4 linked regions of the Oryzias latipes genome follow. The protein of the gene in region 1 interacts with the protein of each later gene in a pairwise test. Links are inferred from orthologs where the notes say so. Each region holds a gene or a part of one and is shown in the gene's direction. Other genes may lie near its edges.

Evidence for each region.
Region 2: the proteins of vps52 (region 1) and rab4a interact in binary tests that used the Homo sapiens proteins (3 or more experiments, as listed by UniProt). The two-hybrid records come from large-scale screens. The link is inferred for Oryzias latipes from reciprocal best matches to the Homo sapiens genes VPS52 and RAB4A.
Region 3: the proteins of vps52 (region 1) and tstd2 interact in binary tests that used the Homo sapiens proteins (3 or more experiments, as listed by UniProt). The two-hybrid records come from large-scale screens. The link is inferred for Oryzias latipes from reciprocal best matches to the Homo sapiens genes VPS52 and TSTD2.
Region 4: the proteins of vps52 (region 1) and c11h1orf109 interact in binary tests that used the Homo sapiens proteins (3 or more experiments, as listed by UniProt). The two-hybrid records come from large-scale screens. The link is inferred for Oryzias latipes from reciprocal best matches to the Homo sapiens genes VPS52 and AIRIM.

The regions. Positions count from the first base shown.
Region 1 is NC_019869.2:3,214,593-3,221,460, reverse strand, and holds the end of vps52 (vacuolar protein sorting-associated protein 52 homolog), read left to right. Parts: coding exon 1-7; intron 8-185; coding exon 186-251; intron 252-463; coding exon 464-575; intron 576-2,736; coding exon 2,737-2,855; intron 2,856-4,222; coding exon 4,223-4,369; 3' UTR 4,370-4,681; downstream 4,682-6,868. Other genes in the region: uncharacterized protein LOC101166061, read right to left, coding at 5,883-5,965, 6,332-6,376. UniProt on the Homo sapiens protein: Acts as a component of the GARP complex that is involved in retrograde transport from early and late endosomes to the trans-Golgi network (TGN).
Region 2 is NC_019861.2:24,496,071-24,503,736, forward strand, and holds rab4a (ras-related protein Rab-4A), read left to right. Parts: upstream 1-2,956; 5' UTR 2,957-3,090; coding exon 3,091-3,106; intron 3,107-3,717; coding exon 3,718-3,798; intron 3,799-4,646; coding exon 4,647-4,761; intron 4,762-4,948; coding exon 4,949-5,011; intron 5,012-5,090; coding exon 5,091-5,245; intron 5,246-5,411; coding exon 5,412-5,507; intron 5,508-5,723; coding exon 5,724-5,839; 3' UTR 5,840-5,868; intron 5,869-6,400; 3' UTR 6,401-6,413; downstream 6,414-7,666. Other genes in the region: phf10 (PHD finger protein 10), read right to left, coding at 1-40, 142-291, 383-507, 603-686, 806-936, 1,045-1,154, 2,512-2,586. UniProt on the Homo sapiens protein: The small GTPases Rab are key regulators of intracellular membrane trafficking, from the formation of transport vesicles to their fusion with membranes.
Region 3 is NC_019868.2:27,743,997-27,750,878, reverse strand, and holds the end of tstd2 (thiosulfate sulfurtransferase/rhodanese-like domain-containing protein 2), read left to right. Parts: intron 1-80; coding exon 81-364; intron 365-435; coding exon 436-544; intron 545-611; coding exon 612-731; intron 732-1,633; coding exon 1,634-1,739; intron 1,740-1,820; coding exon 1,821-1,936; intron 1,937-3,686; coding exon 3,687-3,845; intron 3,846-3,916; coding exon 3,917-4,055; intron 4,056-4,126; coding exon 4,127-4,350; 3' UTR 4,351-4,569; downstream 4,570-6,882. Other genes in the region: protein transport protein Sec24B, read left to right, coding at 6,019-6,112.
Region 4 is NC_019869.2:20,074,178-20,082,007, reverse strand, and holds c11h1orf109 (uncharacterized protein C1orf109 homolog), read left to right. Parts: upstream 1-3,402; 5' UTR 3,403-3,821; coding exon 3,822-4,099; intron 4,100-5,331; coding exon 5,332-5,511; intron 5,512-5,971; coding exon 5,972-6,090; intron 6,091-6,163; coding exon 6,164-6,204; 3' UTR 6,205-6,434; downstream 6,435-7,830. Other genes in the region: cdca8 (borealin), read right to left, coding at 72-158, 242-371, 560-658, 734-816, 898-965, 1,047-1,125, 1,197-1,237, 1,319-1,447 and 1 more; claudin-4-like, read right to left, coding at 6,435-7,124. UniProt on the Homo sapiens protein: Part of the 55LCC heterohexameric ATPase complex which is chromatin-associated and promotes replisome proteostasis to maintain replication fork progression and genome stability.

The DNA.
Region 1 (6,868 bases):
CTTAATGGTGAGATGTTACGGCAGATATGGAAAAAGGAACAAACATGAGAATGATTTATGTGTTTCTGTGTGACATCTCAGACCTCAGCTTATCTCCAGAAACTCATCTGTAAATCTAAATTCGACAGCAACTTTTTAATTTTTGAATTTCATAATCATTTGTTGTTATGGCTTGGCTTGGCCAGGAGAGGGCAGCAGACGACAGCAAAGAGGTTGAAGGTTTCCAGCAGCTGCTCCTGGCCAGAACACAGGTCTGTGGTTGTTGGTTCAATCAAAAAACCTTAAGTTAAACGAAATCTAATGTTTTAATGGTGTCAAAACGTTTGTATAGACACAGCCATTGAATAAACTATTTCACTTATTGTGTAATTTCTATGTTATTGTTGATAACAAATTTGAAATCCACTGTAGATTTTAAATTAGACAGTTTACCGAATTCTTCGTTACTAATATCCTCCTCCAGGAGTTCATTGAGGAGATCCTGTCTCCTCCCTTTGGTGGGATGATCGCCTTCGTCAAGGAGGCGGAGGCACTGATGGAAAAAGGGCAGCTGGACCGTCTGAAGAACGAGGAAGGTGAGGAAACAGAGGAAGACCTCAGGCAAGAAGCTTGATTAAATTACACATGCAGGAAGCTACCTTCGGTTATGCCCCATTTGATGGCTAGGGGGAGGTAGGAGCACAACATTAAAGGCAAGTGTTTGCCCCGAATTACATTAATAACACCAAAAGATTGTTTCCGTACAAAAATAACAGATTTACTAACAAAAGAATAAATACCAAACAAAGATAACTTTAAAAGGCTTCAGGGTGAACCAAGGCGAAAATAACAAACATAACCCCGCCTAACTGAAATCTGAAATCTTACCTGTAAATGAAAGAAAAGATAAAGCAATGACAAAAAACACTAAAGTATGTAAGAAGTTTTTTTACACCAAGTTAAACATTAGTTTTTGTTTTCTTGATACAAAGGTTAACATTTTAACATGGGACTCAATGGGAAATTGCTCCTTGCTCAGATCTGCCTCTAGTGGTCAGTTGAAGAATTGCAGCATTTTACTGCAAAAACAATTTGGTCAAAGAAAATTAAAACAACTAATTAGCAAAGTTGAAAAAGTACATTAATTTGTGGAAAGTAATACAAAGATTGGAGACTAAGAACCATCATTCATCAGTAAATACAGAGAGCAGCACTGTTGTCTGTAATGATAGAAGAGGGGGGGGCACCGATGCTGTTTAGCATAAAGGGGAAGTTTTTGTTTCAAAGCAAACTGGTAAATATTAATAAATATACACACGGAAAAGGGAATCTTGCAGCCCACAGTGGAGGGTTTAGTCAAAAACTAGCAAGTGACTGCTGAAGGTCATGGGGTTACAGCTCGGGTTGTGCAACAAGCATCTGTATTTTGTTCCTTGTGGGGGAGCAGCTATGCAGATCAGAGGCCTGATCCCACGCCGGATCAGGCACACTGCACCCAGAATGAAAGTTTCCGTAAAAGACGGCGTCTCTTTTCACACAATTTGTTTACTCCGAGTCAAATTTCATATCGATCCATTTTCATCTCATTTCCACAGCTTTTTCTTTTTTTTTGTAGCAGTTTATGTAAAAAGAAAAAGCATCAAGCTACCAGAGGTGGAGCGGGTGGATGGTCTGCAGATAGGACGACCTTTGGGATCTCCGTGTAGATCCACTGTTTCTGCTTCTTGGTGACGTGCTGAAGCTTCTTAGGCTGCATCTGGATGTCAAAACACACTAATGAGCGAGCGGCTTGTCTCACTGCCAGCATTGTGGTGTGTAGATAAGAATCCTCAACCTCCAGTTTGCCACAAAAAAGGGTGACTGGTCTATTTGAGGTCAGGAAATGATCAGTCGGCAACCATTCATACCTTTATTTAGCACATGTGACCGCTCTGAGCATGCACAGCTTTTCTGACAGAGTTCATCTTCACTTTGTGGTCCTCAGCAGTTCAGTTGTGTGAAGCCTTAGGCACACGTGTCAACAGAGGGATGATGGGAAATCCGGGCAGCACAGGCATTAGTCTGTGTGAGCTAAGCGCACGTATGGAAGACCATGTCTTCATGTGTTTGGCATTGATGATGATGATGATGATGATGATGATGATGATGATGATGATGATGATGATGATGATGATGATGACTGTGGGAAAAGGTTTTTGAACTCTGCTCACGCAAAAAGGTTCATGAAAAATGAAAAAACGTGGGAATTTCAGCTCTAAGAAAAGGAAAAACTACTGATAAAAGTTTTCCTTATGAAAATAAAGATACATATGATTTGTTTTTTTATTTAAAGTGTCTTTTTTAAACATATTGTAGTCATTGGGGAAATCATTTCTTTTGGAATTTGCCCTTTAGTGTGTTTAAAGGTTTGGCTTTTAATCTGGGAACAGAACACTGAACTCTGTTTTTGGTCCGTTTAAAATGTCCCCATATTTATTATTGATTGTGGCCTGAGCGCATTTCATATCCACTTCTGTGGCCGATCCTCGGCTTGTGTCACTTTCATTTACAGGTTCAGTTTTGTTTTACGGAGTAACCGTCCACTCATAGTTTAGTTTGCTCTGCTGAATCGTCTCCTCATAACTTTCATTTCCTTCCTCTTGTGTCTCGTTCTCCGCCTGCTGCCTCTTCTTTCTTGTCTCTGGACAGTCGTTTTTTTCCGCTCTAAGCGCGTGTGAAACCACACACACCACAGTGACTTTGAACGTGTGTCTGCAGCTCGAATCACCCAGCTGGTCCGCGGCTTCTCAAGTACGTGGAAGCAGTCGGTGGAGTCCATGAGTCAAGACGTCATGAGGTCCTTCACCAACTTCAAAAACGGAACCAGCATCATACAGGTGAGCCAGCGGCCAGGTGTGGCACTAAAACACCTCGACTGACCTCCTGATTGCGTTGAGATCATGAACCGGACTGAGGGACCCCTCCCCCTTTGGCGCTGATCCCATAGACTTCTATAGAGAAATAAACAGCTTTTACTCTATTTGTCAGACTAACCGTTCTTGCTCTGCTACTTTTTTTAAAATAGCTTATCTTGTTTTTTCGTCCAAATTCAAGTAAATAAACGACCAATCAGAAGCTTCGATGACGGTGTGTCCAGCGTTCAAAACTGATTTCCCTTGTTTTCAATGGTTCCATCAAGCTCCCTTGGTGAGAGGGATTGCCATGGAAACCACTCGGACCAATCATGCAACATTTTTAAAGAAGTTGATTGAGTCTGCATCCCAAAATCCCCGATAACTTCTATCCTCCCTCATGTTGTCCTGTTCTGTACCAAATGCAGCATCTGATTCATGTGGGTTTGTCCTAATCGAATCAATTCTCCTCATCGTCACGTGGGATTTTCAAATCTCTGTTCTGGTTTTGTTTGGGGTGGGTGACGGAGAACGGTTCCTAACCCAGGGGGCGCCACAGATCCTGTCACGTTTAGCCTGCGTTTTGAGAAGTGTTCTTTAAAAGACTTTGAGGAAATGAAACTCCACTTTCCTAAAACCTTCCTGGTAGGATTTGGTGTTTTTATCGTCACCTTTAAAACCAGAATGTGAGTCTGTGGGTACTTTCATGTAAAATGATGTTTACTAGACATAAAATAATCTAAATTAACCTATTTGTATGAAAAAAAAATGATGCAGAGATATTTAAATATGTTTAAATGAAAAAAAACACATTCATTTTAGTTCACCTTCAAAAGTTCAAATCATCCGGAAAAAGTTCAAAGAAAGAGAAGTTTCTGTCCCTTCAAACTATAAAATGAAATGACATAACATTCACAGCTCTTGACTTTTCCCCACAATTTAACGTTACGCCTTTTTCCAAAATGGATCAAATTCATTTAAAATAATAAAACGCCACAGTGTTCGAACCAAGAGCACTTTGAAGCATGTATTCATCCAGAATGTCCCTTCATTGCTGCAGTTATCTTTTCCTCTGTCCTGACTAGTTCTCCAGTTCCTGCTGCTGAAAAACATCCCCTCAGCATGATGCTGCCGCCACCATGCTTCTCTGTAGGGACAGTATCGGCTTAGTGACGAGCGGCGCCTGGTTTTGCTTGGCACTGTCTCCAAGTCAATGTCTAATTGCAAAAAAACAGAAACACAAATGATAGAAAACCGATAATAACCCCGTCATGGTGTCCTCTAGAAAGAGAAAACCTCAAAATAGAGCCCCGTTTGGGAAAAAACATCTCGCTCTTCGTCTTCCCCTGCAGGGCGCTCTCACTCAGCTGATCCAGTACTACCACGGTTTCCACAAGGTCCTGAACCAGCCCACGTTCCGCAGCCTGGCCGTCCGATCGGAGCTCATCAACCTGCACCACCTGATGGTGGAGGTGAAGAAGCACAAGCCCAACTTTTAGCTCTTCTCCATCAGACGGAAACCCTCGTCCACATGTTGAGCCTAAAGGAGCCGTCTTCGTGTTTGGGATTTGTGAGATTATTGGCGAGTCTCCTTAACTGTTTTTTTTAATGCTTTAGTAAAGCATTCAATCTATTCCTTCTGATGCAATCCTTGTTTTCTACGCTGCTGATGTGTTTGTTCATAATGCAGCTTGTGTTTTCTCATTTGTCCATGTGTGTCATTTATGATGTTTGTGTATCGCCACCAGGACTTTCTCATGTGCACCAAGAATCTGTTGAGGTGAAAACAATAAAAAGCAGAAATGAAGGCATCACGTTTAGTTTTATTTGGACTAAGAATATTTTAAAAAGTTTTTGTTGTCTATTCAGTAAAAGAGACAATTTTAAATGCAAAAATCAGGTTTATTGTTTTTTATAAAACAAAAATATCAGTTAAAGCTTATTAATGCTCATTAAAGTGCCTGTTTCCAGTTACATTTATCATTATTTTCAGTAAACTTTAGGTTTTTGTTTTTGTTTTTTTAACTCAGTCAGATGTTCAGATTTGTTACCATGACGTTTCTAAAAAATCATTTAATTCTTTACAGGAACACTCAAAAGAACTCATTTTTAACAGTCCTACAGTGAAGTTCTGGCTTTTATCTGGGACTCACAATGATCCGGTTTAGTCTTGTTAAGAACTTCCATCAATTCTTGTTCATTATGTCGATAAATACTTGGTTGACATCCAGGAAAATCAATCAAACGAGTTTCTTAAAAACGTTCTGGTTCTGCTCAGTTCAGAGGAAATTCAGCCGGTCGTTCGACTTAATTTAAGCGCCGTCATCTTTGCGTTTGAAGCACAGCAGAAGGGAATAGCTTCAGGAATCACAAAATCAAATGTCATATGCTACCACACACACATGAAAATAAAATAAATGCATTAAAAATTAAAACCCCTTGATTGAAAATGTTATTTTTTACACAAGATATAAACAAGTTTTACATGTTCATTCGGAGAAACCCTCATTTATTAGAATTTTTAAAGTTAATGTCTTTTCCTAATTGAGAGTCTAAAATCCTCTGGATCATCTGATGATTTATAAATGATTTGCAAATCTTTTACATCATCATATCGAACAATCTCTTATGTCAGTGTAAAAGCTGTGGAAATGACAATAAATGATTCTGATTTGCCACAAAAAAATATTGATTTACCCTTTTAGTGTTTGGATCAAGTTCCCTTATTTATATAATTTACAATTTCTCTCAACTAATTACTGGGTGTTGAAAATAGTGTACTATCTGGTGATCTTTTTTTAATTAAACTAGAAGTTTTTATACAGATTTACAATTTTTTGTGATTAAAAGATAGAAAAAGAGCCTTGAAAATCAAAATAGTCAAATTTTTAACAATTTGTCCCAACCTGTACTAGTGACCGTCTACGCCTCTTCTAAAAAGACCAGCTTCTTAACCTCAACACATCTTTATTTACACTTGCAGTTTTGGTAACAAGATGTATGAAATGAGCCTCAAACAAGATGAAGAATCTGAACAGTGAAGAAGAGAACAGCGGAGACGAAAACACGCGAGCTGCTGCTTTGAGCGGTCCCACCTTGGAAAGGAAGAAAAGAAAAAAAACAGGCTTGAAACCTTAAAACAAGCAATTAGATCTGCATAAATGTTTTCTTCAATTGCCGTTTTTTTTATTTTATTTCCAATAGGTGTGCAGATAAATGTAGATTAAATTATGGCATCTCCTTTTAATCTGATTACATCTTGAGATACATGATATTCAAAACCATTTTAAAATAATTGCATTCAAAACTTATAAAATGGATTTTCACAAACCATATTAACATGTTTTTTCACATCAATTTTCTTAAAATAACTGGTAAATAGAAATTTAAACTCTTCTGTTTTCTTTCCCTCACATCTTTTAATTTCAAATGTTAAAAGTGCTTCTCAAATGATTTCTCACCTGTTTGTGAAGTTTGTGACATTCGTAGTTTGTCGTGTTCTATGTCTGTAGGGGCAAAAAAAAGAACCACTTAATTTTTTTAAATGCCTGAATTTTTTTAATTCAATGTTTGTACGCATTCCTAGATGAAAACGTCTTAGTTTAGCAGAGATTTTAGTCGTTCATAATGTTTTCTACCAAACTTGTGTCATCAAAAACTATGACGGTTTGACAGATTCAGACTTCATAAGGGTCGAAGATGCAAACTTTGCAGACGATGTAACTCTATGGAGCAGGAACGTTGAGGAAACGGGGCAGGGGCTTCAGAAATTAGTCGTCTACAGTTAAAGGGAAGGGTTAAATGGGCGGACATGTCAATAGTTCCTGAAATTTGAATCATTGGTCATATAGGGGGTTGGTAAAAGCAGCCAAATGGGGCCACAAACCAACAGTAATGTTTTAAAATGTCCCTTCAGGGATGAATAAAGTATCTATCTACAGCTGAAACAGTGTTTGACCTGGGTTTATAAAAACACTCCATGGAGAGAACACTGAAGC
Region 2 (7,666 bases), on another chromosome or scaffold:
GAGCAAGAACTTTGAACCTTCCCTGGGGCACCTGAATAACCTGAGACAAAAAGCAGAGGACAAAAAGGAGTTGCATCAGTCAAAAGCTCAACCAACGTTGCACTGATGCAGATTTATTAAACCATCTGCCATTAGACTTACGTGAGTCTGGAGGTCAAAGTAAGCTCTCCTCTCTTCCATTCGCTCCCTGTTGAAGATGCTGTTAAACTCAGCAGCTTTTTTTGCAGCTTTCTTTATGTACTCAGGAACCTTGCTTGCCTCCACTTTCTGAGGGTTCTGCTGCTGCATTTGCTGCAAAAGCACAAGAGAGTACAACTATTTGTTCGTGCGTTTCGACAATTTCTAATAAAAACTAAAGGTTGTTCTAGTCTGGTGTTCTTACAGAGTACTCCTTAGCTATTCTCTGACGCTCCTTTTCCTGCAATATCACAGAGTACTCAGAGTGTTTGGTTGGATACTCCTTTATCATCAAGTCGATCACTTCATCGCTCCGCAAAGCTGTCAATCCTGCATATAAATACAACAGCACTACATTATGTAAGAAATATAAATAAATGTATGAAGTCTGTGCATTAACAAAGAGTTTTAGGGTTGGCTCGTACCCAGGGTGCACTGCGTCTCAGTGATAACATTTTGCTCACGTAGGTAGAGCTTTTCTTTGTGAGACAGGTCTCTCCTCTCCATATCTGCACAAGAATGTTAAAAAAAATTCCCTGGTCAAAACATAATTTGGGCAGTTGCTAAATCAACCGCACTTAAACATTTCCTTTCCTGATCATTTTGTGAATTATTGTTCAATTCTTACCAGGATATTTGCGTTTGAATGACGTGACACCCAAATACTCGCTGATTTGTTCTTGCAGCATGTAATATTCTCCTGTATCATCAGGAGGCCATTTATACTCTATTAGGTTTTCTGCTGGGAAATAAGTCACCCTAGATGAGGAGGTGGGGGCAGGAACAACACATTAGATTTATAAGTTGGTATCTGACGCAATTACTTAAGAATAATGGCAAATTGTAATGCAAAAACAAGTAGCCTACCCAAGCTCTTGGCTGAAGGTGTCACAGCTCCGAGAGCTGTCCCCTGAACCCATTCTCCTCCTTTTCGGTGGCTGGCTCCCATCATTAGATACCTCATCAATTACATCTTCCTACAGAAGTGGAAAAAAGATTCACCAACATTTTTTTTCAAACAGATGAACACCAAAATATATAGAATCGAAAAGCTTATTGTACGGAGCCCCTAAAGGGCCATTGATGAAAAAAAAAAAATGGAGGAAAAAATTTTTTTTTTGAAGTAAAAAAAAATTCTCTTGGAGTAAAAAAAATTCTTTTGGAGTAAAAAAAATTTTTTTTGAAGTAAATAGGAAAAAAAAAACTAACTGGTGCCCACCTGAAACTAACTGGTGCGCACCAGTTAGTTAGTTTCAGGTGCACACCAGTTAGTATCAGGTGCGCACCAGTTAGTTTCAGGTGCGCACCAGTTAGTATCAGGTGCGCACCAGTTAGTATCAGGTGCGCACCAGTTAGTATCAGGTGCGCACCAGTTAGTATCAGGTGCGCACCAGTTAGTATCAGGTGCGCACCAGTTAGTATCAGGTGCGCACCAGTTAGTTTCAGGTGCGCACCAGTTAGTATCAGGTGCGCACCAGTTAGTATCAGGTGCGCACCAGTTAGTTTCAGGTGCGCACCAGTTAGTTTCAGGTGCGCACCAGTTAGTATCAGGTGCCCACCAGTTAGTTTCAGGTGCGCACCAGTTAGTATCAGGTGCCCACCAGTTAGTTTCAGCTGCGCACCAATTAGTTTCAGGTGACATTATGACATTGTCAGTAATATTTCGTGTTTTCAGAAAGTTTATAAGGTCCATATCCTCAACTTTAGCCATTCTCAAGACAACTGTAGCTACTTGGTGCACAATGAGCAAGCAGGTCAACTATCTGATATCTTCTGATACTAACTGGTGCGCACCTGAAACTAACTGGTGCGCACCTGATACTAACTGGTGCGCACCTGAAACTAACTGGTGCGCACCAGTTAGTTTTTTTTCCTATTTACTTCAAAAAAAAAATTTTTAGCTCAAAGAATTTTTTTTTACTTCAAAAAAAAAAAATTTCCTCAAGTTTTTTTTTTTTTCATCAATGGCCCTTTAGGGGCTCCGTATTATTGTGAAAATGGGAACATGTGCAAAACTAGTTTGACTAGGATTACACAGGGAAAAAATTAGCAACACTTTATATTTAAATGGCTACACAATCTAGTTTTTTTTTATTTATATATTTTTTCAACGTTGCAAACTAATAGAGAAATACACGAATAATAGGAGCAAATTACTTCAAGAGGAAGTAATTTGAGCACATTTGAAAACAAATGATTTTGCTAAAAGTGGCTGACAGTTGTCCTAGTGAATGGAAACGTCCGTTGGCTAGCTAGCTATCTGTTAGCAAAACATCGTCATGTTTCCCCGTAAACAACAGCTAATGGATATTTATCAAAGTAGAAAAAAATCACCTTCATGGAGTGCGCCCCAGGAGTAGCGGGACTGCTATCACTTGGTGGTCTAATAATAGGGAATAATGTAGCCATTTTAAGATAAATAATGCCCACAGCTAGGCTAATGATTAGCGGGGGAAACTACGTTTCTTCTTCTTTGGACAACCACGGACTCGGTTGACGTTTGTGTAAATTCAGAGCGCCACCTCCTAGATCCTCCAAAAAATATGTTAAAAAGAGAGAATTTGTACACAACATGCAAACCAATTAATTTACATATAGATAAAACTCTCAGCGAAATGGGCTGTTTTTAAAATTTACTTAGAACGGCGAGAATTTATTTTTCATTAATTGAAACCATAAGAACATATCCAAACATCACCCCCACGCGGTAGTTTGAGGACTATGTGGCATAAGTGTCATTTCAGAATGCTTTTATTTTGAAGAAAAAAAACCCACACACACCGTACAGGAAGTTGGAGGAGGAAATCATAGAATCCAAGGAAATCACCAACAGGACTATTTCCATCACTTAGCAAGCTAAACAAATAACAGTTTCGCCTTTCTCTGCCTTGCAGCTTAGCTGACACACCGAGGATGTCGGAGTCTTACGGTAAGGAGGCTGTCTTGCTTTATACCCGTTAGAATCTCACACACAGATGGCAGGAAAGGGATGATGAGGTCCCTTCGTAAACAAATAGCTAGCTGGCAGGCTAACCGAGCCACTGAGGAGTAGGAAGGTTTTGGCCTTTAAACTCAAATGTCAGCGTTAATAAATCTGCCTTCCGGGTACAGGTGTATTAGTAAAGCTTTATAATGCAAGAAGCTGTGACTATAGGAGATGCTATTGTTCCCGGGATAAGCACTAGGACACAAAGCAAGAGACTCCCGCTTTTCTTTTGCAAACGCAAGTGATGATAGGATATCTCTGTGTTTTGTGAGGCATTGCTCAAATTACACTATGCTACAACTGTTCAATCAATTGAACCAACATTAAACATGATAATTATCTTAGTGGGAGTAAAGAATAAATATATATATATAAGGCTTTGTTCGATCTGTTTACGACACATTTGTCTTGATTTGTATAGTGTAGACATCAGATGTGTACATGTCAACAACTGTATCAAAAAAAAATTAAGAATAGTTGAGTTTATTAATAACAAGGCAGCATATTCAAACCCTGTTTGCTTTATCTATGTTACTACTGTGTTCCCTCTGCAGACTTTCTGTTTAAATTCCTAGTGATTGGAAATGCTGGAACAGGCAAATCCTGCCTTCTGCACCAGTTCATAGAAAAGAGATGTAAGTTTGCTTCAGTTGTAATCACTAGAAAAAGCTTTATAATAATGACACAGTAATTGCCCGACTCTTTTATTTAAATATCTTTAAGGTCCCACTCAAAGACAGTCGTTATTTGTGTGTTTTTAACATATTTTTGTGACATTTTGTTCTCATTATAATGGACATTTATGTAAAAATTAAGCCTAAAATTGCATCTCTGAGTATTTCTTTATTCAAATCACTGTGATTCAGGACCAGTTGCTTGTAGATGTGACATAGAAGCTACTATGGCGAGCTACAAGCTCCCTGCTCCGCTTCAATCCGATGCATCCACTTGTAAACAAATAGATCCATGAACGTCTTCATTTTCCTCGTGTGAGCTAACATCTAGCTTAAAACTGTACAGCTGAATAGCTCTAATATTGCTCGCCATTTTTGTTGCACCACTAATGTTGAGGGGGTGTGAGGGGCTGTAAGCTAGAGGAGTGTAAACAAAAGGAAGATGGGAAAGGTCCCAGTCCCGTCCACAACTCAAAGATTCATTTTTTAATAACCTACTGCCGCTCTGCAGATACTATGTCCAACACAACAAGAGTTTGTTTGCTTTTTTCAATTTTGGCTAAAACAGCATAAACATTATTTAAAAACTACTGAAAACGCTTTTACAATAGTTCAAAAGATGATCGGAGTGGGACTTTAAGCAAATCTTGATGAATATTTTTAGTTTGACTCTTATTTTTTAAACAGATTTTAGCAAAGCAGTCACAATCTTTATCAGATTAAAAAAGGGCATTTTATTTTTGTAAACAGTAGGTCATTTTAAGGTGTTGAAAATATATGACTTACATGTGATATTTATGATTTTCCAGTCAAAGATGAGTCCAACCACACAATTGGAGTGGAGTTTGGCTCCAAGATTATTAGTGTGGTGAACAAAATGGTCAAACTTCAGATTTGGGACACTGCAGGTCAAGAACGTTTCAGGTAGCTAAACATCTTTAAAAATTCCTTCTACATTGTGGATGTTGCGTTTTTAGAGATGTCGGCGGTGCACAGCTACAACTTTTTTTTTTCCATTTCTGTCTTAAATTGGCAATAATTACTAAATGGATTTGGTATGCATTTGCTTAAGTGTCAACAATGTTCCCTTTAACCAGTATATGTTTGTCAGGTCCGTCACCAGGAGCTACTACAGAGGAGCAGCAGGAGCTTTGCTGGTCTATGATATCACCAGGTAAGACGAGGTGCGTTATTCTTTTATTATGTATACTTTGACTGCTTAACCATTTGTTTTGTTGTTTTTGTGGCTTCAGTCGAGAAACCTACAACGCCTTAACCACGTGGTTAAGTGATGCTAGGATGCTGGCCAGTCAAAACATTGTAATTATCCTGTGTGGGAACAAAAAGGATCTAGATGCTGACAGAGAGGTCACGTTTCTGGAGGCGTCACGCTTCGCTCAGGAAAATGGTTCGATCTTAAGTTTATAATCCTTAGCTAAAAACTATACAGTTAACTTTCATTATACGTAATTACTCAATGGTTTACTGTTTAGCACTGACTGGCCATTAGTGTGGAATAATCATCAGCGGTTTTCATAGCGGCTGCTCTCATCCTTACTCTGTGTTTGTGGCAGAGTTAATGTTCCTGGAGACCAGCGCTCTCACAGGAGAGAATGTTGAAGAAGCCTTTGTCCAGTGTGCCCGGAAAATCCTGAATAAAATAGAGTCAGGTGAGGAGTTCTAATCTTTGCCCACATTTGTTAAACACAATTTCCAAATCCCTTCTTATCCTAATGGGATAGTCCAAGCTCAGGTGGAGCTCAGGGCTTCAGTGAGCTAGTCTGGAGTGTTGGACCAGCTGGTCCAAAAGTCTGTAGTGGGGATGAAACCTCTGTAGGTTGTTTTCTCTTTATCTCTATTAATCAGCACCATTTCTCTACTCTTAGGAGAGCTAGATCCAGAGAGGATGGGGTCAGGAATCCAATATGGGGACGCTGCGTTACGCCAGCTTCGTTCTCCTCGCCGTGCTCAGCCGCAGGGCACCCAGGAATGTGGCTGCTAGTGGACGTCCTGTTACATAGCCCTTTGAAGGTAAACGTGTTGCTGTGGGATCCCAGAGTGTCTCGGACCTCTGACATTTTTTTTGGAGTTAATTTTCAGGTACGGAAAGGGAGCCGATCGCCTCCTGTGGTTATGACAGTTGTGCTCAGTATAGCACAGAATTACACAGTCAGAGAAAATAGATAAATATTAGGATGAAATTTATGCAAGAAAACCAGGACTGATGACATTTATCTTACTATGTATATCAAATCCTAAAACAGTATTAAAATCTGCACTATGTTTTCATTGACAGCTGTTATCTACTGGATCAGTACAGAGCTGTATTCAGAGAAAAAAAATGGATCGGACCATTTATTGACATGAACTTGGATTTAGGCAACCAGTTACAGTTAGTCTGCAGTTTGTTTTTCTGAAACAATAGTTGTAGGTTATGTTGAATATCAACTTTGCAAAAAGTGTTGATGCACCTCAGTGTAATTCTTCCTGCAATGCTATTTACTATAGTATGTTTGTGTGTCTTTTTCTCCACGTTTGATTTTGTTTTGTTTTTGGAAACAAGTTTGTGAAGACCAGAAGAAGAGCAGCCACATAGAACCTCCACGAATGCAGATGCGGGGGGCTTGCCGTGCCGGTTACTCCACCTTCCTCCAACTTTTGCACGGACCCTTCAGAGCATCTGTTGTCATTTTTGCATGTGCGGAGAGCTGTGAAGACCCCGCCCCCAGCTAAGGAACCCAGAAGACCACACTCATCTTCAAAAACAGAAACATAATTTAAAGCTGGACCAAAATCTCTCTGGCTCTGTGGCGAGAAGGTTTCTCCTCAGACGTAGCTCCCTGCTTGTCACCTGCTCTCCAAGCCTGTTAGACTTTCCTCTATCTATTCATAAAGACGGTTCCTGTCAATCATATTTAAAGTAAAGGTAGTTCAATTCAAGGTAGTTCAATTAAAATAAAAAGTTGACAGTTTTCAAACACATACTTTTGACACTACTAGCACTTGCTATGGTTTGGTGCAAAGTTCATTAAATAAAAGATAATCTCCCTATTTTTAAGCATGAAATAAATCACCCAAATTACTAAAATTCCATTTTTTTCCCAACTAATAGCACTCCTTGTTTATCGCGCACCTGCTCTTCTTTACCCAAGTGAAGCTTCTCACTCCACACTGTGCAGCTATGGAAGCACATTTCATCAGCTAAGCTAACCCTAATTTGTTTATAGTCCTCATCCACTTCCTCTTCTCCCTGCAGAATGTTGTACAGTGCTGCTGTGACCGATGCATGCTTTTCAAGCAAATTATCAGAGTGTTTCATTATATAAAGAGATATTAAGGTGTCAATTAAATAGGTTTTCAGCTCTGCTCATTAAAATGTGGAGCTGTGCCTCACAGGAAAGCTGTGCTAGAACTTTGTATTTTCATGAATTTGGCAGTAACGCATTGCTTTATCAGAAAAAAAGAAAAAAAATAGAGTCCATGAGGGGACAGAATGCTGTCAGCTGTAGAGAGACTAAGAGTTGTATCATGAGATTTATCAGTTGTGCGTTTTGTTTTGTCAAATCTGGTCAAAAACAAAGAATTTTACTTTGGAGATTATATCACTTTACAACTCGTACACTAAACTGTTGCAGGTGCAGACATTTCAAAGGAAACAGACATTTTTCAATGCGAAATGCCTCCAGAGGTGTATCTGAGAGCAGCATAGTTTGTGTCACGTGAGGTTGTCGTCTTGTGTTTGTGTCATGAAGCCTCATTTCTAATGATCTGTGTGTGTGTTTTCTCCTTTCATTATAAATATCATATATTTTTAATTTATTGTGTATGA
Region 3 (6,882 bases), on another chromosome or scaffold:
ACCATATATTTCTGGAAGTATTTGAAACAGAATACATTTGCTTGATTGAGGTAAATGCTTTGATTCTTTTTCCTTTTCAGTCTTTTGCCTCGTTTGTGGCTTCAAAGATCTGCAGTGCAGAGGCCGGCGCCTCCTGGTGCTGCTGCGGCCAGACCTTCAAAGAACACTCTGCCGTTCACAAACATGTGGCCAGAGCACACGCCGCCGAAGTGCAGCAGCTGGCGCAGACGGCGTTCCAGGCTTCGCTGAGCCAGCTGGCAGAGGAAGAGCAAACACAGCGGCTGAACGGACGCGAGGCAGAAGAAGCGGACGTTTCTGTGTGGATCCCTGACGTTAGCCACGTCCCAGCGGAGCTGCTGAAAAAGTAGATCAGGGTGTCACGTCTGCCGCAGACGCGATGGGAAACACTCCTGACGTGTTCTCGTTCTCCTGCAGCGGTCCCGGCAAGGTTCTCCTTTACTACCGCTACTGCGAGGTGGAGGATCCGCACGTCATCTGCGCCTGGCAGAAAGCTCTGTGTGAGAGGCTGCAGTTAACGGGGAAGGTGACCACAAACTCCTCCGTAGGATCCACGAGGAGAAGCTCTGTTCTGAAGTGGAAGCTCTCTGCAGGTGAGGGTGGCGGCAGAAGGAATCAACGGGACGGTTGGTGGAACCGCCGTGGCCACGGATCTCTACACCAGGGCCATGATGTCACACCCCCTCTTCCAGATGGACCGAGAAGATTTTAAGGTAAAGTTTCTGAGATGCTTTTCATCTGTGGCTACATCAGGATTAAGACACTGGACTACAAATAGACTTTTTAAACGGTTGTATGATTGTTGATGGAACCAAACAGCAAAAAGAACACATTTAAAAAAAAAAAAAGAACTGTTTTCCATTTAAAGAAACCGATCTGTAGTAAGAAAACAATGAAGTGTAAAAAAAAAGAATTAAATTATCTTAAAATTATGCATAGCTACAAACCACATTGAAATTAGTTTCTCTTAAGCAAAAATATCTATATGTATATTTATAAAACTTGGGATAAACTGTCATGAATTGATCGGAAAATGAAAATATTAAAAAGTAAAGATGAAGAAATCCACACAGATATATATAGATTTATATACACTTCCATATATAAATACATACACGTGTAAATGATGCCATTTTTATTACTCTCAGACATATTTTAAATCCGTTAAATATTACGTTTGTCAAAAGGACTTTTATGTGTTGGAAAAAGAGTGGGAGGAAGCCAATGTATAGAATTCTGTCTCTACTGTCATCATAGTCATCATAATCCATAATCTTGTTGTCAGAGATATTTATACTTCACCTGTCCAAGTGCAGATTAATGAACAAAATGATCCTAGTATGTAAACTTTGAGTCAAAAGGGGACATTGGGTTTGTGGGGTACGCGTCACCTCTGTGGGGTTCTACCTAGGTTCTGCTGGGCAAACGGCACCAACACCTGAGAGCTTGGAGGCGTTCATGAGATAGAAATACATCCAGATAAATGGAAATGGCTCAAAATGATGACATGTTTGTGAACAAAAATGAATCCTAAACATGTTGGTTAATCAGAAACAACCTTCAAACTGGTTCCATTCATGTTTTTTAAATGTATTTCCTGGTTTTGTGCGTTGAGATCAGTGACGGCGGTGCCGAGTGTTTTCCAGAACTGAAGGTCGGCGTTTACCAGGAAATCGTTCCGATGGGAGTCGATCCGGATGTGGTTTCCTACCAGCTGGCAGGTGAAGGTCCTCTTCACGGATGCTGCTGCTGCTGCTGTAACATAAAAAAGTGTAAAACTCTCCATCTCTTTGCTTTCTCAGGACTTCATCTGGATCCGGAGGACTTCCACAAAGAAGTGGAGGCTCTTTTAGGGGAAGGGGATTCCTCTAACGACACCCTTCTTCTGGACTGCCGTAACTTTTACGAGAGCAAAATAGTGAGTTGCATTTTCCGTCTGTTTTTTTTTTTGTAACTTCTGAGTAAATCAGGGTTGTAGGTTTTTAACAGTTTGAGAAAATGCTGCAATACATGTCAGATCCTGCAAAATCAAGTCAAAACGTTTTACAAAACACAATTCCAAAAAAAACATAAAAAGTTCCAGAAAACAAAAGTAATTTCCATGAATCAAAACTTAATTCAATGTTATTTATATAAACCAGTATTACAACCGTAGTCGTCTCAATGGGCTTCATCCCGGCATTTGTAAAGTAAATATGAAATCAGTCATAGAGTTCCATAGGTAATGCTAAACTAAACTAAACAGACGGAGCTAAACCTCAGTAAGGAGTTGACATGTTAAAGAAAAGGTAGGTATTATGGGATATCACTGATTGGATGATGACCTCTGAGTTTTAAGGAAGAGGGAAAGCAGAGGGTTGTGGTTTTGGTGGATGAACCACTCGCTGCCAACTATGCGTGCTTTTTTTTCCTTTTCTTTTTTTTTACAACATACACAATCAAAACAACAACACGTGATAACGGGTGCCCACATCTAGTTTTTGTTTTTAAGTGAAAAACAGTTCATTTCCTTATGCTGAGTTGTGACACAATAAACTAACAGGCAGAAAATTGGGGCGAACCACTGCAGAGGGGTGCCAAGTCTGTCATAAGGGACATCACTTTGTTTGTTTTTAAGGGATTATTTGGTTTATGTTAAACTATGTGGTAGATTATGGTCAATATTTGCTTTATTTTCAGTTAAAGTCATAAATGAATAATAAAAAGGTTAAATGTTTGTTTCCCTCCTTCCCTGCTTGTTTATTGTGTGGATTTGTCCAGAGTGTTAACCAGGAAGGTTTTTTTAGAATGGTTTAGTCCGCTTTGTGTCAAATTCATTTGGTTATGGGTTTTTTTTAAGGGGGGGGGGATTTTTCTTTTTTATAAGAACAAATAATTTCTTTTTATCCATTAAAAAAAGAATAAAACAGCTTCTAAGCAAAGCAACCTTTTTCCTGCTGACTGACGGTGGACCCTCGCTGTGGTCAAGAGTGGATCGATCAATCACTGAACTATTCTAGTGGGCGTGGCCAGAAGCTTACAGAAGTATCGTTTCTAGGAAGATTTTTTTTTCCAATAAACTTTATTAACAAATATTGCACATACAAAATATCAAACATTGTCACTCCACACTAAATAACATTTTCGCATTTGACAATGAAAATGAACAAAAATCTCAAAAAAGCCATAATAATAGCAAAAAAAAACCAGAAAATAATAATCAAAAATAAATTAGGTAAAGGATTCTGCTAAAGTCTAAAAAAATGACTGTGTTTCAACTGTTCTAACAGGTTTTTTGTTTGTACAGGATTCAAAACTATTTACATATGGAATCATTTCTTTCTGAAAAATGTAAAACACTGTTCTTTTGTTAACATATATTTACATTTATATCACCACGCCAAATAACTTTCTGTTGAAAAGGTGAACAAACGTCCTCATCCAATCAGTGATATCCCATGATACCTACCTTGTTCAGTTTCTTTATTTTGTTTTTTTATTTCTGGAAGTTCCTCTTGTTTTCCGATACTTTTCCTTTTTATTTCATTTAGTCTCTAAAATCTAAATAGTTCGTTGTTGTGATCCCTAATTTGTTTTGCTGTTGATTTTTTTTTAATGTCTTTTGAGCTGCTGGGCCACCGAACTACAGACTCATGAACCGAACTTTTGGGGTTTTCTTTTCCTTGCAGGGACAATTCACTCGATGTTTGGCTCCAAACATCCGCAAGTTCAGCTATTTCCCCGACTACGTCGACCAGAACCTGGAACTCTTCAGAGACAAGAAGGTTCTGATGTACTGCACAGGAGGGATACGCTGCGAGCGCGCCTCGGCGTACCTGCGCTCAAAGGTGAGCTCTGTTCTTTTTCTTCCTGCGTTTCCATGGAAACATGTCAGCGCTCAGCTCTGCGCTCTCTGCAGGATGTGTGCAGGGAGGTCTACCAGCTGAAAGGTGGAATCCACAAATATCTGGAACGGTTCCCCGAAGGGTTCTACCGCGGGAAGCTGTTCGTGTTCGACGAGCGCTACGCCATCTCCTCCAACGACGACGTCATCTCAGGTCTGTGTGTGAGGGGGACTTTTCAGGGGGCGGGGCCAAACGTTCGCGGCTCAACCGGCGCTTGTGTTCAGACTGCAGCTTCTGCGGACGCCCGTGGGACCGGTACGAGCTCTGCAGCACCCGCTTCTGCTGCCAGCTGGTGCTGTCCTGCCCCGCCTGCAGACGGCAGGGTCACACCGCCTGCTGCTCCACCTGCCAGGCCAAAGGACGCGCTCAGGGCGGCGCCAACGGCCCGCATCACAAAGAAGAGTGCGAGTGCACCGAGAGACGACCCAGAATTCCCCAAGATGTCTGACCTCAGTCATTTGACTTTGATCTAAATTCTATTTATCAGCTGTCAAATATTATTTTTCTGTCAAAGTAAATGTTTTTAACCTTTTATCAACTCCTATGAGAAAGAAAAAAAGCATTTTGTGCATTTGAACCTGTGGCTATTGTGAAAAGCACTTTCACATTAAAAGCATCCATCTGTAATGTTGCTTTACACAATAAAAGCCATAAAAACAACCATAAATGCTGCGTGGAAGTGTGGTAGTAATTTACTGCAAAGGGGATTAAAAAAAGATGGAAACACGTTTCTGCTCTAATGAGGTGAATGAAGGAGATTGTGAAGGATTTCCAGACAAAATTTTAATTGATGGTAAAAAAATATAAAAAATTGTCTCTGGATTTTCTGTCTATGACTCAATTTCAAAGATGTCACCTAGACGCATTCATATTGTATGTCATGTTGTTTTGTCCAGCTTGAGCCGATGATCATTATAACAAATCTTTTAAAATATTTCAGTGGAAAAATGTGCAAGCAACAGGGAAACACCTCTTTTGTGAGTGCGCTACGCAAGAAAAGGCCGACAACTTTTAAAACCAAGTAGCTTCCCAGTGATGCTCGAGGAGTTAGAAGCCAATCGATCGAAATCCCTTGGAGGAGTTCAAATCTGTAGAAGGTGGAAAATTCAAGATGCCGGCCTCTTCCTGAGGTCAAAGGTTAACGAAACTTTGGTTTTGGTTGTTTTGTATCCTCCGTTTCAAAATGTCGTAAGAATTATTTTTGGAAATCTTCGTGTTGTAACAGTCGGACTGATTGAATGAATCATGTTGCCACAGGTTTTACAGTGAATGAGGGGGTCTGACCCCCGAAACAGACAGGAGCATTGTTTTGTTTTTTATCAGCTCCTTTAAGGTTAAAGTGCAGTTGCTCCATAACTGATGTTTGGACTCTCCTGGATTTGAGGGGGAAATGTAAGAAAATGGCTAGAAAGCAAATTTCATTTTGAACAAAGAAATGGAAGTTTTGGGGTTTGTTTTTGTTCTTTCAAATAAATCATTATCAGCAAAAATATTAATAAAGTCTGTTTACTAAAAGCATCTATTTGAAAAGAGGGTGTTGTTTCATGTTGAGACCAACAGTGAACAGAGCAGAACTTGCAGACGACATTCCAAGAATAAAATGCACCGCAAAAGAAAAATAGGAATAATAAAGACAAACAATATCTATGATTAAAAACAATATACATAAGGATAGGACTAGAAATGTGTTTATGTTATTGTATTTATTTTTTAAAGTTTTATTAAAAATACATTAATATAGGACTAATTAAATGTTAATTTAATTATTGTTTAAAGTTTTATTGATCTACTTTAAACTTAGGTGAATGTATTTGTTTGTGTGTCTTGCGATCGTTCCCACAGTACCTGAACGCACCTCAGTGATTCGCGCGAGGAGCTTTGCAGTTACACGTCATGTCCACTAGAGGGAGCGCCAATTCCGGAGCCCACTGACAGCTAAGCTCCTTCAACATCCCGACTGGAGGCTTCAGCTCAGCCGAGCGGACCTGGCCAGGCTGCCCGGGTCTTCGCGGGCCACCTGCAGCCTCTTTTGCCGCAGTTTGGACTCGGCGGTGACGGACAAGCGTTTGGCCGCAGATGTGCGCGTCCTCCCCCGTGAGGGCATAGGCACGGGAGCATGTCTGCGCCCGGATACACCAACCGGAGCAGCTCCGCCAGCTTCGGCCAGAACTCTCCGGCGAACGGCGGAGCGGCGCCCCCCTTCCATAACGGTGAGACAGGCCGGATCATGGTGCGCTTCTGCCTGCCCGCTGGGGGGTTAGCATGTTCACCTGGAAGTTGATTGTCACTGGTTAATATTTTTAAATTATATTCCTTAAGCTGCTCTGTTGCCCTGGTAACATTATCTACACACGGCTAGCAAACTGGAGGGAAGTGGGGAGTTTATGCTAACCGGATGCTAACTGTGGCTTAAGCTAACCCAAAGGGATCAGGGGCTAACACAAGCTAGCAGGAGTTAGCAAGCCAGATTGCGCATTTGATCTTTCTCTTTCGGCTTTTCCCATCAGGGGTCGCCACAGCGAATCATCCTTTTCCACCTCACTCTATCATGGACATCTTCTACCCTAACATTAGCCAACTTCATGTCCTCTGTTAAGACATCCATGTATCTCCTCTTTGGCCGTCCTCTTGCCCTCCTGCCAGGCAGCTCCATCTCCAACATCCTTCTACCAATATATCCACTATCCCTCCTCTGAACATGTCCAAACCATCTCAGTCTGGCTTCTCTGACTTTGTCGCTAACACAGGCAACATGAGCCGTCCCTCTGATGTACTCGTTCCTTATCCTGTCTAACCTGGTCACTCCTAAGGAGAACCTCAACATCTTCATCTCTGCTACCTCCATCTCAGCCTCTTGTCTCTGTCTCACTGCTACTGTCTCTAACCCATAGAGCAGAGCTGGTCTCACCACTGTCTTGTACACCTTTCCTTTGAGTCTTGCTGGCACTTTTCTGTCACACAACACTCCTGACACTTTCCT
Region 4 (7,830 bases), about 17 Mb from region 1:
CCAGGAGGACAGACAAGGGTGAGGTGGATGTGGGGATGATGAAGAAGCTGGTGGGTGGGGGTGGGGGGTACCTGCAGCAGGCGGATGCTCCTCAGCGCCGTGTCGTCCAGCAGAGACAGATCCACCGAGTCCATCTGACTGGCGAGCAGCTGGATGCTCTGCAGAAGCAGCAGTTCAGGCATCAAACCTCATCTGGATTCCTTCTGGAAGGAGGGGGGAGGGTGGAAGCAGGGGGGCTTACCTCGCCGTTGCCGATGGGAACGTTAATGACGATGTCCTCGTTTCCAGCCGCGATGGGGGAGCCGTTAACGGAAATGCTGTAGACTCTCTCCTTGTGGCGAGGAACTCTAACTGCAGGAGTCTGGGGGAGTCTGAGAAAACAATGCATCATGGGATATGGAGTTTAACCCCAAAGATAGCTTCCTTAAATAGGCCGCCAAGTTTCTGTTAGTGTAATTCTGTTATTTTGTCTTCAAACTTGAAATGATAAATCACTGAAAAACAGATTATCTTTTCTTTTTGTGAGAGACAAAATGTAATTTGATTACAACAAACTCACCTTGGGTCAAAGCTGGGGGTGATGAGGGGCGTGGCTCCCATCAGGAGCGATGAGTCCAGCATGCTCCTAGCGGGAGTGACCAAAGGCTTCCTGCTGGACCTGAGCGATCCAAACAAAGGCCGTCAGCCTCCACAGAGAGGAGGAGGAGCTTCAGAGCAGGGATCTGGGACTCACCGCCGGATGGTGGTGCTCTGCTTGCTGACAGTCAGCGCCTTTGCCCTCTTTGACGTGGTCGGGGGCTTCTTCGCGGCTCTCCCCTAAATCACACAGGAGGAGTGTGAACTTCCCGTGTCGAGCAGCAGCGTTCTCTTGGCGTTAAAAGTGACAGCAGACTTTACCTTCCTGGTTGTGCTTGGCGTGTTTTCGTCCTCAAAGCTGGACTTGGCTCCGCCTTTCTTTCTCGTGGCTAGCGTGAACCAAACACAGACAAATCAGTGAGGAAGGTTTCGGTTTGGCTTTTGTTTTGAAAATGCTGCTCTCTACGTACTTTTCTTCACAGACTTCGGTAGATTGGCGTGGTCCTTGGCCACCACGCTCTCGACCACGGCGGCTTCCTCTTCTCTCTGCTGCGAAGGAGGCAGAGTTCCAGTGAGCGACAGAAAGGAGCTGATTGACAGCAGAAGGAGAAGAGACTCACCCTGACGCTGTCCACCTCTGGAGTCTTGGGTTTCTCCATTTCTGCAGAGACACAGTATAACAGGTGAGAAGATCTGAAACTCGCATCACTTTTCGCTTAGAGGTCAAAGGGCGTGGACCTACTGTAGAAGTCCATCCACTTCATCTGCCGCACGGCCATGGGCAGCTTGATCAGAGCCATGTTGTAGCTGTTGTCGATGTCCTTCAGAAGGTGGTTGATCTTTTCCTTCATCTGAACGACTCTGGTATTCACTGAGACAGAAACAACCAAGTTTATGTTTTCATTCTTGGCTTTTGATTCAAACTCCTGCAGGGTTTGATTCGCTGGGTTTAAGAGCTCAGGCGAGCTCCATCCTGCTAACCAATCAAATCAATTCAGCTGACAAAAGCAACCATTGTTTCTCGATGCCCGCCATTTCCAAATAAGGAAGTGCTCTGAGCAAGGTGGTGGCAGAGTCATGATATGGGCCTGAATCAATGAAGGAGCAGGAAAAAGGCCAAAGAAAAGCTAAAATCCATCTTTAAATTGTATATTAATTAATGTGTACTGTAATGCAAGCCTAATCTGTGATAATTATGAGAAATAAATGAAAAACTGTTTAATAAATGGACTAACATTGATAAGTTTAACATTTTAATGTTACGTGATACGAGTATATATTGATAGTTTTCATTTGCCTCAAGTGTTATATAAGTGGAATTTGTTGATGTTTTTGACAAATGAAATTTTACTAGAAAAAAAATTATATGTGGAAGATCCATTCTGATGAAAAGGGCGTATTTAACATGTTCATTTTTCTGATGATGGAGGACATAAGTAAAGAAATAAGGCTTAAATAGCATTTCTTCGTATTTAATTTTTTCAAGCTATTAAAAAATGCTAAGCTTTAAAAGATGCATATTTAATGAGTTTTGATATCAAAATTTAGATTGTTTTTTTATAGCACTTTTTCCATCCACTTCTTTATGATCCGGTTTATTGCATCATTTCGAAGGAGCAGAACTTCCTTTTTTACGTATAATTATCTTTTTAGCAACAAAACAAAAAACACAAACAGGAAATAAGCGATCAGTAAATTTACAAACAAATTCTAACTAGTTTTTGAGCACATTTTTTTATTAGTGCATGAAATTGCACATATAAGGAGAGGAACTCTTGTAGGGTCTTTCATGAAAAAAAACCTGCAATTTCCAAATGATAATAACAAATTATAACAGCTAAATGAAGTTATTTTTTGTTTTCTTTGGATTGTCTTGAAGACTCATTCATCCAGGTTGATTCCATCATAGTAGTAGGTTTAGGGGCTGTCATCTAGACTTAGTTTTTAAAGTTAGAAGATGTTTCACCCCTTATCCAAGAGGCTTTGTCAATTCTGAATTAGCTGGTAAGAGCTGGCATATATATATATATATATATATATATATATATATATATATATATATATATATATATATATATATATATATATATATATATATATCCCCAACCTGGTCAGCTCTTTCAGCTGTTACTGACAAAGGTTGAACAGGTTCGGTTTGTTGGGTTTCAGAACACTTTATTTCAGACAACAAACTGTAGGCCGAGCCTTTACTTAAGCCGAACTAGCATTGTCGTTTACCTTCGCTGTCGAAATCCTCCAAAAAAACTTCCAGTTTTTCAATTTTCTGGTTGTTCTTTCGCTGCTTCGTGGTCCTTTTCCTGGGCGCCATGTCCGCTCAGAACTTCACAAACAGGAGAAAACTGTGAAACGTTGTTTTCGAGATGGAAAAAAATAAGCCGCCGAGGACGTTAGCAGCTATGTTGTTAGCTTTGGAATCGGCAGGAGTTTATCCGGCAGATTAATTTACTCCCGTTTTCATTCTTTGGTCTCACTTATGATATAAATGTTTTTAGATTCAATTCGTCTGAGTTTGAAGCGGGTTTTCTTACAAAGGTAACAGTTGTGTGGGTTTCCCTCTGGCCTGCCTTCTTCGCGAAGTCGTTTTCAAATGTCCGCGCGAGGCGGAGCCAAGACACAAATCCAGCCAATCAGGACGTGGATTGAGCCCCGTCATCAGGGTTCGGCACTGCGAATGTTCAATGCTGCGTTCGAAGACAACTCGGGAAAAAATGAATCGTCCCCTGATGGAAAGCGTTTCAGTAAGAATCAAAAAAAGCATTTTTGTAAAACAGCTGAAGGGCAGGAAATACTAAAAATAGTCACCAAGTAAAAAGTTTTTTTAACTCACAATTACAATTTACCCAATTTAACCAAGATAAATAGCAACTTCCTACAGACATGCCTGTGATTATAAATATAAAAAAAAGTTCTCAAAAAGTCCAGAAGCATTAACAAAACCAGTGGGAAAATATATCAATAAAATGTATGTATGTGTGTATGTAGATTTAAAAAGGAGAGCACGAAAAAATACAATTTTCCGAAATCAAGTGCCTTTTTTGAGGAGCTACTGTATTTATGGGGCACCGTATCTCCAAGGATCAGTAAAGGCAGCATATGTCACTACTTGACACCGGAAGCGCTTTCTGGTTCTGCGCAGAAAAGTAGTGCAGAATTTTGCTGAGGCTTTCAGACTTGGTCAGAACTATATTTACAGTCCCATCCAAGCCAGAGCGGAGGCCGAGGGCATGTCTGACATCTCCCGACCGACGCTCAGCGCCCTCCACCAGGCGTTCAGGAACAGCTTCGCCGCGCTGGAGAGCAACCAGCGGCTGTGGGGGAGCGAGCTAGCGGAGTGCAGCCCTCTCCTGGGGTCTCTGGGGAACCTAGCGGAGCAGATGAGAGCTCTCTCTAACGTGCGGGTCTCCAGCACGCCGCTCGGAACCTTCCCGAAGCTGGAGGAGCGGCTGCGCTTCAAACTGCAGGAGGCCGCGGACACGGTGCTGGAGAAACTCAACGAGAAGATGTGAGACACGCGACAACTCCACACACACGCGCCTCTCGGATGACGTCATCACAGGGACTCCTGTGACGTTGAAAAGACTATTAGCTCTGTTTTTTGTGACAGCATAAAAAAAGTTTGTTTCAAAATAAGAGCTCCTGTAGTACAGATACTAGCACCAAACCATATATTACAATTTCCGTTTAAAGAAAATATTAAAGATAAAACCCCAAATCAAAATAAGCCACATAAGACCTTTACCAGAAACTAGAACCATCATTAAGCTACGTTCACACCGCCCTCAGCGATGCGCGTTCAAGAAACCACCAATAAAAAAAATGTAAATTTGCATTTTGGTTTAAACTCTTGAAGTTTCTACGATAATTTCTGAGCTCTGTATGTACAAAAAGTGCATCTATTAAATGTACCTTAAAAGTTAAACCAGGTCGAACTTTGACCAATTAGGGACTCAGATTTGGTAGTGACGCATGGATGGCACCCCTTTAAATTTACGGAAACACCAACCGTTTGAAAGTTGACCATGGAGGACAAATTAATGATTTTGATTTGATTCCAGTCGGAATATATGACACTAAATCTTTCATATATTGGACTAGAGATGCGAAAAGAAAAAGCCTGGAGTCAGATATACAAGAGATTTGCACCACTTTGACATTTCGCACCAAGACTCTGCCAACTGTAGGTGGAAGACAAGTCATGGTCAATTGTAGAAGAAGGAGAAGCCCCAACCCACTAGCACTGTGTGAACACTATGGGTTAACATGTTCTGGAACGCGTGTCTTTTTTTTTCTTTTTTTTTTTAAATGGTTTATTTCAACCAATCAAATAAGAACAATACACAACAACAATACAATCATCAGTTATACATTCATACAATGACGAATCAAACTTAGGATATTTAGACATATTAATAAATATTGCTTGAAAGGGAGTGGAAGGAAGCGAACGTATATAATCCCACCCCGTTATACCGTGTCATATGCCAGGTGTGTCCATAGCAGAGACAGTGCTGATGCATTCAGGGACATCATGGTTTTTTCTTCTGCTCCTCATTCACAGCAATTTGAATAAAGACATTTTCAGATTGCCAATTTTAAGCATACTTTTCTTTATGTATGTCCTCGATCATCAGAAAAAGGCCGCAAAAACTTGTCAAAACAGATAAAAACATGATTTTTATCAGTCTTCAAGGGCTTCCTTGTCCGAGGACTAAGACAGACTCCTTTCCTTCTCAGGTGTCGTCTGCAGTCTGCCAGAGACGCCATCAGTAACCAGGTGAGGTCCGTCATGCAGCTGTATGAGCAGAACGCCACCAGTTTGGACCTGCAGGCCGTCACAGAGCGCTCCGCCGTCACCCCGTCAGTCGCAGACATGCTGGAGTGGCTTCAGGACGCCGAGCGCCACTACAGGCAGCAGTATCCTTCCTGTCTGTGCTGTTGGTACGGTCCGCAGCATTCATGGACGGCAAGGACCGGATTGTTTTTGCAATTCTTTTTTTCTGAGAGCGAAACGGCAAATGCTAAAATATTTACCAAGATCTGCACAGACCCGGTACCCGCTGCATAGGAAGGCTTGACATAGTCCACCCCCTACACACACAAACAAACAAACTAACAAATAAAATAAAATAAACATTCCAGTGGGAGAAACCATCACAAAAATGAATGGGGCAAAGATCTCTAATGGGGTTCAAAAAATATATTTCAAATCCTTCAATCAAAGCCAAAACGGAGGATATCCATAGAAAACTTTAAAATTATGATTATGATCATGCCCTCCAGGGCAAAACAAAAGTTGGCGGCGAGGGCGGGGAATGGTAGAGCCAGCAGTCTGTTTTTTTGTTTCTGTCTTCTGCTCTCCTGAGCTCATGTTCAGATTCCTGCAGAGGAAAGTTCTGCTGCAAACGCTCAGACCCAACGACCTCGCTCTGCTGGAATCCCTTCCTGAGAGGTGGAAGTCCCTGGAGTCTCCTGACGGCGAGCAGCGAATCACAGGTAACATTAACTGTCCGAAGCTTGAAACGCGAGCTCCGCCAACTCTGAGATGTGGGACTCTTGTCTCCTGCAGAAACACTTTGCAGAGTGTCATTTTTCCTGGAGCTGGAGTGAAGACGGAGGAGCAGAACTGGAACCAGAACCTTCTGAGCAGGACAGAAGTCAATGATGCAGACACGGAGAGGAAGACGAGGGATTTGAAGACACTTCATCAAATCGTCTTTATTGTCTACTGAACACAGTCGGGTTCACTGCAGTTGCAACACCACACACGTCAGAGAGGACAACTGCAGCCAATCACAGCGCAGCGGCGCCCAAAGTCACACCTGGCGGGGATCCTCCTGCTACACGTACTCCCTCATGGGGAGGCTGCTGGAGGTGATGGGTTTGGGAGGATCGGGAGCGGAGGCGGGGGAGTTGGCAAAGCTCCGTCCCATGTAGCCCCTGCGGTACCGACCGCCCCGCTCCATAAGTGGGCAGGTGCTGCTCAGCACGGCGCCGCTGATTATCAGGATGACGGCGGCGGCCCAGCCCAGGTAGATGGCCTGGCCCAGCTCTCGCTTGTGCATGATGGGGACATTGGGGTTGTAGAAATCCCGCACCACCGTGTTGGCAGTCCAGGAAATGGGGATCAGAACGCAAAGGCCTGTGACGATGAAGAGGATGCCGCCCGCCAGCGCAATGCCTGCCTTGGCACGGCGGTCATCGCCGGCGCAGGTGGTGCACTTCATGCCGCAGCAGGACACTGTGCAAGACAGCCAGCCCATGAAGATGGCGAGGCACATGAGGGCCCGCGCCGCCTGGATGTCTGGCGGCAGCGCCAGCATGGAGTCGTATGTTTTGCATTGCATGTGACCCGTGGTCTGGTAGATGCAGTTCATCCAGATGCCCTCCCACTTGATCTCCGAGGTCAGGATGTTGTTGCCGATGAAGGCCGACACCTTCCACTGTGGCAGCGCTGTGACGGCGATCGCCATGATCCATCCGGTCACGGCGCAGGTGAAGCTGATCAGTTGCATGCCCGTGTTCACCATGGTGAGGGCGCCGCCTGGATCTTCTCCTTTGAAGTTCTCCTACCTGAAGCTTGTGGGTTTATCGCTGTATTTTTCTCGGCGCCGTTTGTGTCCTACAAACTCGTGGCGTTAGCGTTCATCTCGTCTTTTTCTTCTACTCGGCATCCGTCGCTCTGTCCACCGTTCAGCACTTTCAAAAGAACGTTAAAGGAACTTTCTCCTCGTGATGCATTATTGAGAGGCTGAGCAGCCGCTGCGGGGGTCTCATAGGAAGGCCCGTGGCTCTGATCTGGACCGCTGTGGCGCTGCTCGGCTCTGTCACTCTGCAGTTTTGGTGTTTTCTTTCTAGATCAGGCTGGCAGAACCTGATATAGAAGGCTGCCACCGTATCCCGTCACAGTCCAGCGTTTTGAGTAGCATCCAGTGGCGCCAATCCCAACCAAACCAATGAAGTGCCCCCCCCACCTCCCCTCACGGTAGCGAAGCCACCTCAGATGTTTGAAGAGGGTCGGTTCTGGTGGTGGAGTCGGCAGCGGGTCAGAGCCATGAGGTCGGAGCTGGGAACAGAGAGAATCTGCATCAATGCCGTCTGCAGCAGCCGCTGGTGAACCTGTGAAAACAAAGGATGGAGGGGGCAGTGTGCGTGTGCATTTATGTGTGTGTGTGTGTGTGTGTGTGTGTGTGTGAATGGATCAGCTAACACAAAGATGAGCCAGGAGGCCTCTTC